2 linked regions of the Sus scrofa genome follow. The protein of the gene in region 2 binds, or shares a complex with, the protein of the main gene of each other region. Links are inferred from orthologs where the notes say so. Each region holds a gene or a part of one and is shown on either strand. Other genes may lie near its edges.

Region 1 (4,913 bases), on a different chromosome or scaffold from region 2:
ATAAGTTTCTCACCTTTCGTCACTACCACTCCCACAGTTCCATGACCTGAAGTGGACCTGTTGGGACCGCCTGGAAGTGCCTGCTGGGCAGCCCATGAGGACCTTGGAGTCATTGTTGGCCCATCTCCAGGTGTGCCCCATTCCTGCCCTGTCCCCAGGTCTGGCCCAGCCTGGCCCATTTGGAACCTGACCTATCTCTTTCTAGGAACTACATGAGCTGAGGGTGAGGATGCTGCTGCACGGGCCAGCCCTGCTCTACTCGGCAGGATGGTCGCCTGAAAAGCGGGCCCATCATCTCTCCCTCAGGTGAGCCCACACCTAGCTTTAGCCAGGGTCTCATTCAGTCCCTAGAGGTTTTAGGTGAGGGACAAGTAGGCTTTCCTCTTCCCAAGCCCTTCAGGCCCCTCACACGTTCCTGAAGTTTTCTTTTGCCAAATGGAGCCAACAAATGGGCTGGGGGTGGGGTGAGGGGCCAAGAGCCTGAGGAAGGGCCTCTAGGAGCTCCCTGCTTGGCCAGCCCCACCAGCTCCTCCACACCCTGCTCAGCTACCCTTTCACAGCCCACTCCCAAGGGACTCACGGCTTCCTGCCTCCTGCCCGCCCCGCCAGCTACTCCTAAAATAGTTTCAGATGTTTCCTGTCTTGGGCTGCTGCTGCTCCTGGCCTGGGATCCTTATAGCCCATCAGCACCCTCTAGTCCATGCCAGGACATTCTCTGCCTGCCACTGCTCACATATTCCATCTCTCTCCCACCCCTCTCCTCCTCCTGCCACCAGGGTGACAGATCTGGTGCAGCAGGTAACAGGACGAGCACCTGAGCCTGGGCAGCGGGTGCTTGTACTGGAGCTCAGCTTTGAGGGTGAAGAGGAGGACACTGCCTTCCCACCCTTGCACTATGAGCTGTGAAAAGGCAGCAGCCCCACTATCCAGCTCTGTCAAGCCCTGCGTCCCAAGCCCACAGTAGGTGCTCAATAAATGCTTGTTGAAGGAAGGTGTAAGTGGACAGGATGGATGATGGAACACAGAGCAGGCACATGGGGGTGGGACACAGGCATGACATGGACCCCTGCTGGGAGGGAAAAGACTCTAGATTTGCTTGAATTGTGCCTTGTGGGTCTGAGGCTGCCTCCTGGAACCTCAGGGGTATGGAACCAGGACGTCCAGAGAAAGGCCTTTATTGTCCCAGGCTGGAGGGCAGGGTCAGAGGTAGCTGACAACATCATTGCAGATGATAGGCTGGCGACTGCGGCAACTCATAAGGGCTGCAAAGCGCGAGACATCTGTAGGCAGTTCGGGTTCTGGGCGAGGTGGGCATGAGAGTCGCTTTCCTGCCAGCGCTGCCCGGCGTGCCCTGGCCAGCTGGCGCCTCAGCTGTTCTGAGAGACCAAGTAGGAACTGGGGGGGGCGAGCACGGGCTCGTGGCCCACCCCCATCATCCCCCTCACCTGAGGCCTCTGGCAGCTCCATCCAGTTGTGCACCAAGTCAGCAAAGCAATTGTCCCCTAGCACCAGGGGCTGGCGACTGCGACCTCGGCTCAGCAGGGCTGCTGTCCAGTCCTCAGCTTCCAGCCCTTGCCAGTGCTCCAGGCAGGCATCTGGGGTGGACTTGGGCCGTGGTCGGTGGGCAGGTGGTGCACTGGTCACAGGAGCCCCACTGGGCAGGGGAATGCTACTGGCTGAGAGGTGCTGTCTATGAGGGGGCCATACTGGGGGTGCTGGGTGCTGGAGTATGGGCAGCTCTTCCTCTCTCCATGTGCTGCCTGACACCTCTGAGAATCCAGAGTCCCAGTCCAGGGCATGCTCCCTGGGGCCTCCCAAGGCTGCACCCCTGTCTCCTGTCACCATAGCGTCTTCCTCCTCTTCCTCCACACCACAGACTGAGTCCTCTTCCAAGGCATCTGAATCTGAGACCCTGAGCCGGTGCTTGGGCCGCACGCCTGGATCGGGTTTGGGGGGTGGTGGAAGGGGGCCAGGCATGGGGGATGAGCCTGTGTCCCGGCCACACAGCTGTGGAGGAAGAGAGGGCAGAAGTCGGAGGGGCAGTGCTTCTCATGCCTGCCTGCCTGGCCAGTTCTATGCCAAAACAGAAGGCCTAGGAGAGCTGGATAGGCCTGCAGGCCTAGGCAGCAAGGCCCCTAGTGGGCACAAGGCCGGCATGGGGTGCTGGCACATGAAGCTCATGTGGCTTCCATTGGCGGACCCGGTGGCAGTCTGGCAGGCTGCAGCACGCTGAGCTGGGCAAGTTGGTACCCGCCATCGGGGCGGGAGGCAGTGTTGTGGGCCTACATCGGGAAGTAGGACTGCTCAGGGCTGGGGGGGGCACTCCATGCCTCTTTAGGGATTTGGCTCCCCAAAGCCCGCAACGTCTTTCAGAGGATAGACCACGTGCCAGGTGGGGTGCAGAGGACAGAGGTACAGGCCAGCCTGGATTAAGCTTTCACAGCAGCACCGGCACCACTTTAGTCCCTCGCAGCCCTCCCCCCCCATCCGCCCCAAATAAGTTTCTCCCTCCACCCCCGCCCCCAACTTCCTCTGCCGCGCACAGCACAGCCAGCTGGGTGGTTGTTACTTGATGCCCAGCGCAGCTCTCAACCATCTGAAACCCGACGTGGGCCATCTGCGCCGCCCCGCCCCCATTCTGCCTTGGATGGGCACTCGGGACAGCCCCCCACCCATGTGTCGTTCCAGCCGGACTGCAGCCGAGCACCCCACAAGCGTCTTAGCGAGCCACACCCGCTCCCAAGCCTCACCAGTTCCCAGCGGAGCTGGCCAAGAAAGCTGTCAAGCCGAGTGCTGTGCATGCCCGTGCCGGAGCCCCCGCCAGGCCTGCCAGTTGCTCTTCGAACTCCAGCAGGAGCGGTGCGGTGAGGGCCGGGAAGGCCGGCCAGCGGAGCCCTTGCCCTCCGCCAGGCTCAGCGGCTCCTCCCTCTCCGTAGCTCCCGCCGCAGCAGCAGCCACCGCCCCAACATCTGGCAGCCCCGCCCCGCCCCTTGGCGCCGCAGCCAATGGGGCTGGGACGGGGCTGATGTGGCCCCGCCCCCTGGGTCCAGCTGGGTGGGAAACCCGACGCCCACTACCCACTCCGCAACAGCCCTGGGGGGGAGGGGCTGAACAGGGGCCGAGAGCTGGGCAGTGTCCTGCTTCCGAGTCCTCGAAGTCCTGGGCGGTTGAGCTGACTCCGAATTCGTTGCAAGACTCAGGACAAGCCGCTTCCCTGAGGTAGCCTCAGCTTCTCCATTTTTCCCGGGTTAGAATTGCGGTCCCTCCCACAGGGGCCCCTGCAGCGCGCGGGTTCCGTGGCTGCGCCCTCACGCGGCTAGAGCGCCCCCAGTAGTCGCATCCGACAGTGCTGTGGCCCACTTGGGGCCTGACCCACTCAATCTGTTCATGGGGCTGGCTTCGACAGTCCTTAGAAGTCAGGAAGGGGTTCGGCCCTTTGGATGACTCCGGGAGCGCGGAACCTCACCGCCCCCACGGAGTAGCAGCCGGAGCCCAGGCCCAGCCCCCGCGTCTGTACGAAGCTAGGCGGGGCTGCCCTCTAGTGGGCAGCGCGCGGTTATCTGCTCTTCCTGCCGCGACACTCACGTTCCCTCTGCTTGGCACCACATACACACTGAGAGTAAGGGCAGGAGGCCACTTTTTGCCCCCTCCAGTTGATGTCCCCCAAAGTAACCACTATTTTTGCTTCTATTGCCAAGGATACCTTTTGTTTGTTGAATGTAGACAGCTTTTGAGAGATTTTGTTGATGGTTGGGCTCAGATTTTATAGGCAGGTGATATTCTAATGGGGGGGGAAGCTAGAGTTCAGACGCTATGGGGTAGCAGGTCCTGGGCCCAGTTTTCCTGGGTCCTGTGCTTACTCTGTCTCCAAGAACTGTGTGACCAAGACTTCCTTGAGCCTCAGTTTCCCCATCTGAAACTTGATTCTTCTCTCACGTCTGTTTCAAAATTGTAGTAATAAATTGGGGAATTCATTGGGAGCAGTGAAAAAAATGGGTATTTCCAGACCTCTTGATGCCTGTAGAGTCTAGAACTCAGTCACCAGGGATGGGTGGGGCTAGAATCTTGGAGGCCCAGGAGTACCGCCTGCTCAGCTGTGTTTGAGCAACTGACCTGGCAACGGGGCAGGCCTGAAAAACACGTCTGTCTTTCTGGAGTCTCCTCTGCTGTCTGTATCTTCAGGCCGCTATGGTGCTGCTCAGGTCCCTGGTGCTTCTTCTTGCTCTGGTTGTCTCTGGTGAGGAGCTGGTGGGTAGGGGGACTTTAGTTCTCACCTCCCTCACTCCACAGTGGAGTCCTGACCCCTTTCAGATAAGCTCCCATGGAGGGCAGGGGCTGGGGGAAGGAAGCCAGGAAAGGACAAAGATCTGAACCTCTGGCCCTCATTCCTTATCTTTGCTTCTTCTTCAACCAAGTTCTCACTCCTAGTCTGTGAAATGATCTGACTTGTGGTTAGATGTGAGAGACAAGGAAAGACTTCTGCTTGTCCCCAAGATGTGGCTAGGCCCTAAGGCAGAAGGGAAGGACTCTGCTTGTGTATATGGTTGCTTGAACATGGAGAGCCTCCAGCCTGAATTGTCTCTTCCTCACAGATCATCACTGCCTGCCCTGGTTCATAAATGTCTCTGAGAGCCAGGGACCTGGCACCATCCTTCACTCTTTCTCCTTCAACTGCTCTTTACACACACCCACCCTGGAGTTGCTCCATGTGAAGCCACCCACCACCTTCTTCAACCCACCCAGCCTCACCAGGTGGCAGGGGATCTATGTGGGCAAGGTAGGGTCACGGGCACAGCTGGGGACATTGGGGAAATAAAGGTGGACACTAAATTCATTAAGCCAGCGGTAGTATAGGGGAATGGAGAACCTAGGTCCCATATGGCACTGCCCACCTGCTGCAGATGACCTTGAGC
Region 2 (4,871 bases):
ACAGGTTTGATCCCCGGCATCGTGGGTTAAGGAGCCGATGTTGCTGTGACTCAGATTTGATCCCTGGCCCTGGAACTCCAGAACTCCATATGCCACTGGGTGGCCAAAACAAACAAACAAACAAAAAAACAAAAAAACCTCATTACACAGTCACTCATTCATTGCTGCTACAGATGTTAATTAAATGCCCACCATGCGCTAGACACTGTGCTAGGGCAGGGAAGATGCACTAAACATTTAAGAGTATCTCTGAAAAAGTGGCTTTACACCTCATCCAACCATCCATTCAACAAATGGGCAGCCCACAGTGAACAAAACAGACAAAAATCCATGCTCTCATGGAGCTGACATTCCAGCAGGAGAAAAACAATAACTATGATTAGCTAATCATCTAGCCTGTTAGAACGTGATAAGAGGAACAAAAAATAAGAAAAAGCAGAGAAGGTAAGTGGTTTAGTAGCATGTGAGAGGGACTTTGGCTGCTTTAGTCAGGGTGGGCAGGAACAGTCCCACTGATAAGGTGACATTTGAGTAAAACCCTGAAGAAGAGAAGGGACGGAGCCATGAAGGTACCAGGGGGGAGAGTCTATGCCCAACAAAAGGAATAGTCAATGCAATGACCTTGAGGTAGATGAGTACTTGATTTTTTTTTAGCAAAGTGGCTGGAGACCAGTGAGTGAAATCCAGGAAAAAAATGTTTAGTTTACGGGGGTTTCCCATCCTCCTCCCCCTCCTTTTTTTTTTTTTTTTTTTTAAACAAATCAATTACTTCTTTTTTTTTTTTTTTTTTCGTCTTTTTGCCATTTCTAGGGCCCCTCCGCGGCATATGGAGGTTCCCAGGCTAGGAGTCGAATCGAAGCTGTAGATGCCGCCCTACTAGAGTCACAGCAACGTGGGATCCGAACAGCAACTGTAACCTACAGCACAGCTCACAGCAAGGCCAGATACTTAACCCACTGAGCAAGGCCAGAGATCGAACCCGCAACCTCAGGGTTCCTAATCGGATTCGTTAACCACTGAGCCACGACGGGAACTCCAACAAATCAAATAAATACTTTTGAAAAAACTTATTAAAAAGATTAAGATCAATCAGTGTCCTGGTTCCAGGTCAAGTTCCCGGACTCAGACAGACAAAGGTCGTCCAAACTCACTATTTATTGACTATGATCCCAACTGAGCTAGTTCGCCCCGCTGAACCTCAGTTTTTAATCTGTAAAACGGATATTAATAACAGGGTTGTGACGAGTATTCAGCAAGATAATGCAAGTAAAGCACTTGACGGGGTGTCTGGCACATAGTAAAAGTTCAAAAGCTGTTTCTGGCCATAATCACCCATGCCTGCCTTCTACCCCCCATGACTGCTTTTGAGAGAAGGTGGGAAGGACTGTTGCAGGCGCCTAACCATTTTCCCCTTTAAGAATCTCAGCCGGCTGGAGCCAGCCTCCCCGCACCCTTTCCAAATTTTCCAATCCCGGCTTGGCATTTTCCTCCCTAAGGTTTCCGATTGGACGATCTTCACCAATCAGAGGCTGGAGCGGACCCTGCCGGGCACCCAGCTCCGCCCCTGAGCCGGCCCTGCCCCGGGCCGGTCAGCCCCGTTGCTATGGGGACTGGTGGGCGGCGAGGGGGGAAAGCCCCGGATGTTCGTTGGGGATTCAACATGGCGGCAGCAGTGGCCGTGGTGGCGGCGGCGCAAGAGAGCTGAGGGCGGCGTGAGCGCGCCAAGTTCCGGGCCGAGCAGCTAGGCCGCGAGCGACTGCGGTGCCGAGCCGGTAGGATAAGCGATCTGGCCAGGCGACGTGGGGGGGGTCCGGCGATGGCGGTGGGAGAGCGTTTACGGGAATAGGGGGCGGGGCCGCTGGGGTCAAAGTTGACTCGCGAAGGAAAGGGTCGCGTCGTGGGTGGGTCGCGGGTCTACGTTGAACAGGGGGGAGGTGTAGAGTAGGTCAGAGGTCGTGGTAGCAAAGGGGGCGTGGCGAAGGGGTGCAAAATTGGAAATTTGAAGTAGGAGCGTGTTGGAGGGGCAGGGGGGCGAATGTCTAAAAAAATGGGGGTCAATTTGAAGGGAGGATGTGCCTGCGAGGGTCTGAGAGTTGGAGGTTTAGGGCAGCAGCTAGTGGAGCAAATGAATGAGATTTAGGTTGGGGGACATCTGTATGGGATCAAAAGTGGGGCCTGACCAAAGGGGGCAAAGATCAGAACCTGGTGGCCCGACAGGTGATGTTCTCAGGGGTCAGAAGTTAAAACCCAGGTGGGACGTGTTGCTGAAGAGGAGGGGTAGGACATTCAAGAACAAGGTCAAGGGTGCTTCCTGCGGGGGCGGGGGGGGGCGGGGGAGGGGAAGAGGAGAAAGCCCTCCTCCCACAGATGATGAAAATAAGAGCAAACACTCCTAGAGCACTTACTGTGTGTCAGGCTCTGTTCTAAATGCTTTACATTACCTTTGATCGTGAACACAACCTTATGGGCTTGGTGCCATTATTAAGAGGTTAAGTGATTTGCCCAGGGTCTTCTCATGAGTAAGTGGTGCAGCTCAGATTTGAACTCGGGGTTCAGAGTTGTAGGCTCCGCAGGCTCTCAGATTCTCATGATGTTGGTTGATGCTTAATGAGAGTTAACATTGTACTCAGCGCCCTGTGTGCCCGGACTTATACCATAATCTTGTGAAGTGGGTACCAGATGGACCCACTTTACAGACAGACAAAGTGAGGCTCAAAGAGTTTCTACTGAGTGACAGAAGCAGATTCCAAGCTGAATCTTGAATGACCCCAGAGCTCCTGGCCCTAGTCACCACATCGTAGCTTGCTGAAGGTCTGTTCCTGGAAGCAGGGGGCTGGGCTGGGCAGGGCTGTCTCTTTGGCCTCCATGGAGGGGTGTGATCTGGGAGGAGAGGCTCCCCTGGGCCTGTGGGATGGGGTGTTTGTGGGTGGCCCAGAGTCCGAGGGAGTCTGACAGGCTTCTGGCGGGGGTCCTGGGGCGGTACCCTGGACAGAGTCGGGTGTTCTCTGTATTTAAAACCCCAGGCTCTCATCATGGTCTTCAGGCACGCCCATCCCACTTCCTACTGCTCTCCCCATCCCTCCCCAAGGTCCAAGCACACCGGCCTGTTTGCTCTTCAGCTCCATGGGCTCATGCCTCCCTCCAGGTCTTTGACTTTCCAGTTGCCTCTAATCTGGAACCTGCGCCTGACCAGCCTGCCCCCAGACACTCCTTATCTCGCTATTGTTCTCTATCTCGATGCTGGGCCCCTCGAGGGCAGGAATTTCTCCAGGTTGTCCTTTCCCTGAGTTTCCACCTGAAGCACTGCCTCGTCTGCAGAGTCTGCAGAGGATGCTGGTCGGTGGGGATTGAATGTTGGGCACGGGGCTGGGTGCTGTGTGCTGAGTCTGCAGCAGTGGACAAAATACACAGAGCCCCTGGCCCCTGAGGGCCCTCAGTGTCCCTCGGTGGGAGCAGACTGGACCCAGACCCCTAGCCTGTGATACATGGCTCCATCTCTACCAGTGGTGATGCCACCTGCGAGGACATGTTCCGGGGACCCGGAGAATGTCCAACCGGGGCCAAGAACTCTGTCCCTGGGCAAGCTCTGAAGGACGAGTAGGGGGATGGGAAAGCGTTGGCCAGGCAGGAGGAAAGGTGTGAGTGGAGGCCAGGGATGCAGAGTTGGGGGCTTGTGGGCAGCGTGTGGCCTGTGTGAGACCCCTAGGCTGCCCAGCCTGGTGGGGGCATTGGGCAGGGGCCGATGAGTAGCTGCCCCGTGTGTGGCACTCTGGGGTGGTACTAGGGAGTAATTCGAGAGGATGCTGGAGCAAGGGTGCCTGGCTCACACCCAGCTCCATCACTTACAGGCTGTGTGACTGTAGGCTGGGCCTGTTTCCTTCTCTGCAAAATGGGAATAATGATAGTGGCTACCCTGTAGAACTGCTGTGAGGGTGCAGAGCATAAACGCTAGGCCTAGGGCCTGGAACAAAATAGGAACTGGGTAAGCACTAATTTCTTTTTTCTTTTTATGGCTGTACCTGCGGCATATGGAAGTTCCCAGGCTAGAGGTCGAATCAGCGCTGTAGCTGCTGGTGTATGCCAGCAGGATCCAAGCTGCGTCTGCAACCCACACCACAGCTCATAGCAATGCCAGACCCTTAACCCACTGAGCAGGGCCAGGGATCGAACCTGCGTCCTCATGGATGCTAGTCAGGTTCTTTATTGCTAAGCCACAACAGAACTCCGGATTAGCACTAGTCTTGAGGCTGCCGCTGCTACAGCTCCCTGGGGAGGGTCTCAGAGGTGGTGGCATAGCCTCTCCATCAGCCTCCCGGCTTGCTCCGGCAGCCACCCTGCCCCCACCTGGCTCTGGCAGGGTCACTGTGTGGGCACATGGCCAGGCAGCCTTATGAGGCCGGCCAGCCTCGGGGCCTGGTGGTGCCAGCTCACTCGGCATCTCAGGGCTCAGCACAGATAAGGGGGTGGTGATAGGGCTTTGGCCCTGGACACACACATTCAGGTTCCTGCCCCATCACTTACCAGCCGTGGGACCTTGGGCAAATGATTTCTCTTTGCCAGTTTTTTCCTTGTGATACATTTCAGTGCAGTGAAAAAAGTGGGGCTTTCATTGTAGCAAAACACCCACGTTTCCAGTGTCCAACCTGGGACGGAGCACCAAGTGGATACAGTTAAAGGCCCCTCTTCTCTGCCCCCTCTCTCCCCACCTTCTCTGCTGATTGTAGCCCAGGGGCTGGATTGGGTGTCCAGCCTTCCTCTGCTGTTACTACCTTCGGGTGGATTCACAACTACAGAGCTATCGCACCAAACCCTGGCCGTGTATTGCAGTCACCTGGAGAGCTTTCAAAAATACTGCTGCCCAGGCGTGCCCT

What was found. Proteins that work in one complex are often made in the same cells at the same time.
Region 1: the proteins of PAK4 (region 2) and FAM212A are in contact, whole or in part, in a crystal structure (PDB 4XBU), measured with the Homo sapiens proteins. The link is inferred for Sus scrofa from reciprocal best matches to the Homo sapiens genes PAK4 and INKA1. Residues at the interface, in NP_001014831.1 of Homo sapiens: Ser331, Gln358, Arg359, Glu361, Leu362, Thr404, Asp440, Lys442, Ser443, Asp444, Phe461, Leu475, Val476, Gly477, Thr478, Pro479, Tyr480, Trp481, Met482, Arg489, Glu507, Glu512, Phe516, Asn517, Glu518, Pro519, Pro520, Met524; in NP_976248.2 of Homo sapiens: Gly178, Arg179, Ser180, Arg181, Gln182, Pro183, Leu184, Val185, Leu186, Gly187, Asp188, Asn189, Cys190.

The regions. Positions count from the first base shown.
Region 1 is NC_010455.5:32,328,414-32,333,326, reverse strand, and holds FAM212A (PAK4-inhibitor INKA1), read right to left. Parts: upstream 3,456-4,913; 5' UTR 2,802-3,455; coding exon 2,751-2,801; exon of another isoform or gene 2,689-2,750; intron 2,008-2,688; coding exon 1,201-2,007; 3' UTR 1,160-1,200; downstream 1-1,159. Other genes in the region: UBA7 (ubiquitin-like modifier-activating enzyme 7), read left to right, coding at 38-130, 206-306, 777-906; CDHR4 (cadherin-related family member 4), read left to right, coding at 4,189-4,237, 4,593-4,777, 4,902-4,913. UniProt on the Homo sapiens protein: Inhibitor of the serine/threonine-protein kinase PAK4. Acts by binding PAK4 in a substrate-like manner, inhibiting the protein kinase activity.
Region 2 is NC_010448.4:47,868,042-47,872,912, forward strand, and holds the start of PAK4 (serine/threonine-protein kinase PAK 4), read left to right. Parts: upstream 1-1,562; 5' UTR 1,563-1,772; intron 1,773-4,871. UniProt on the Homo sapiens protein: Serine/threonine-protein kinase that plays a role in a variety of different signaling pathways including cytoskeleton regulation, cell adhesion turnover, cell migration, growth, proliferation or cell survival.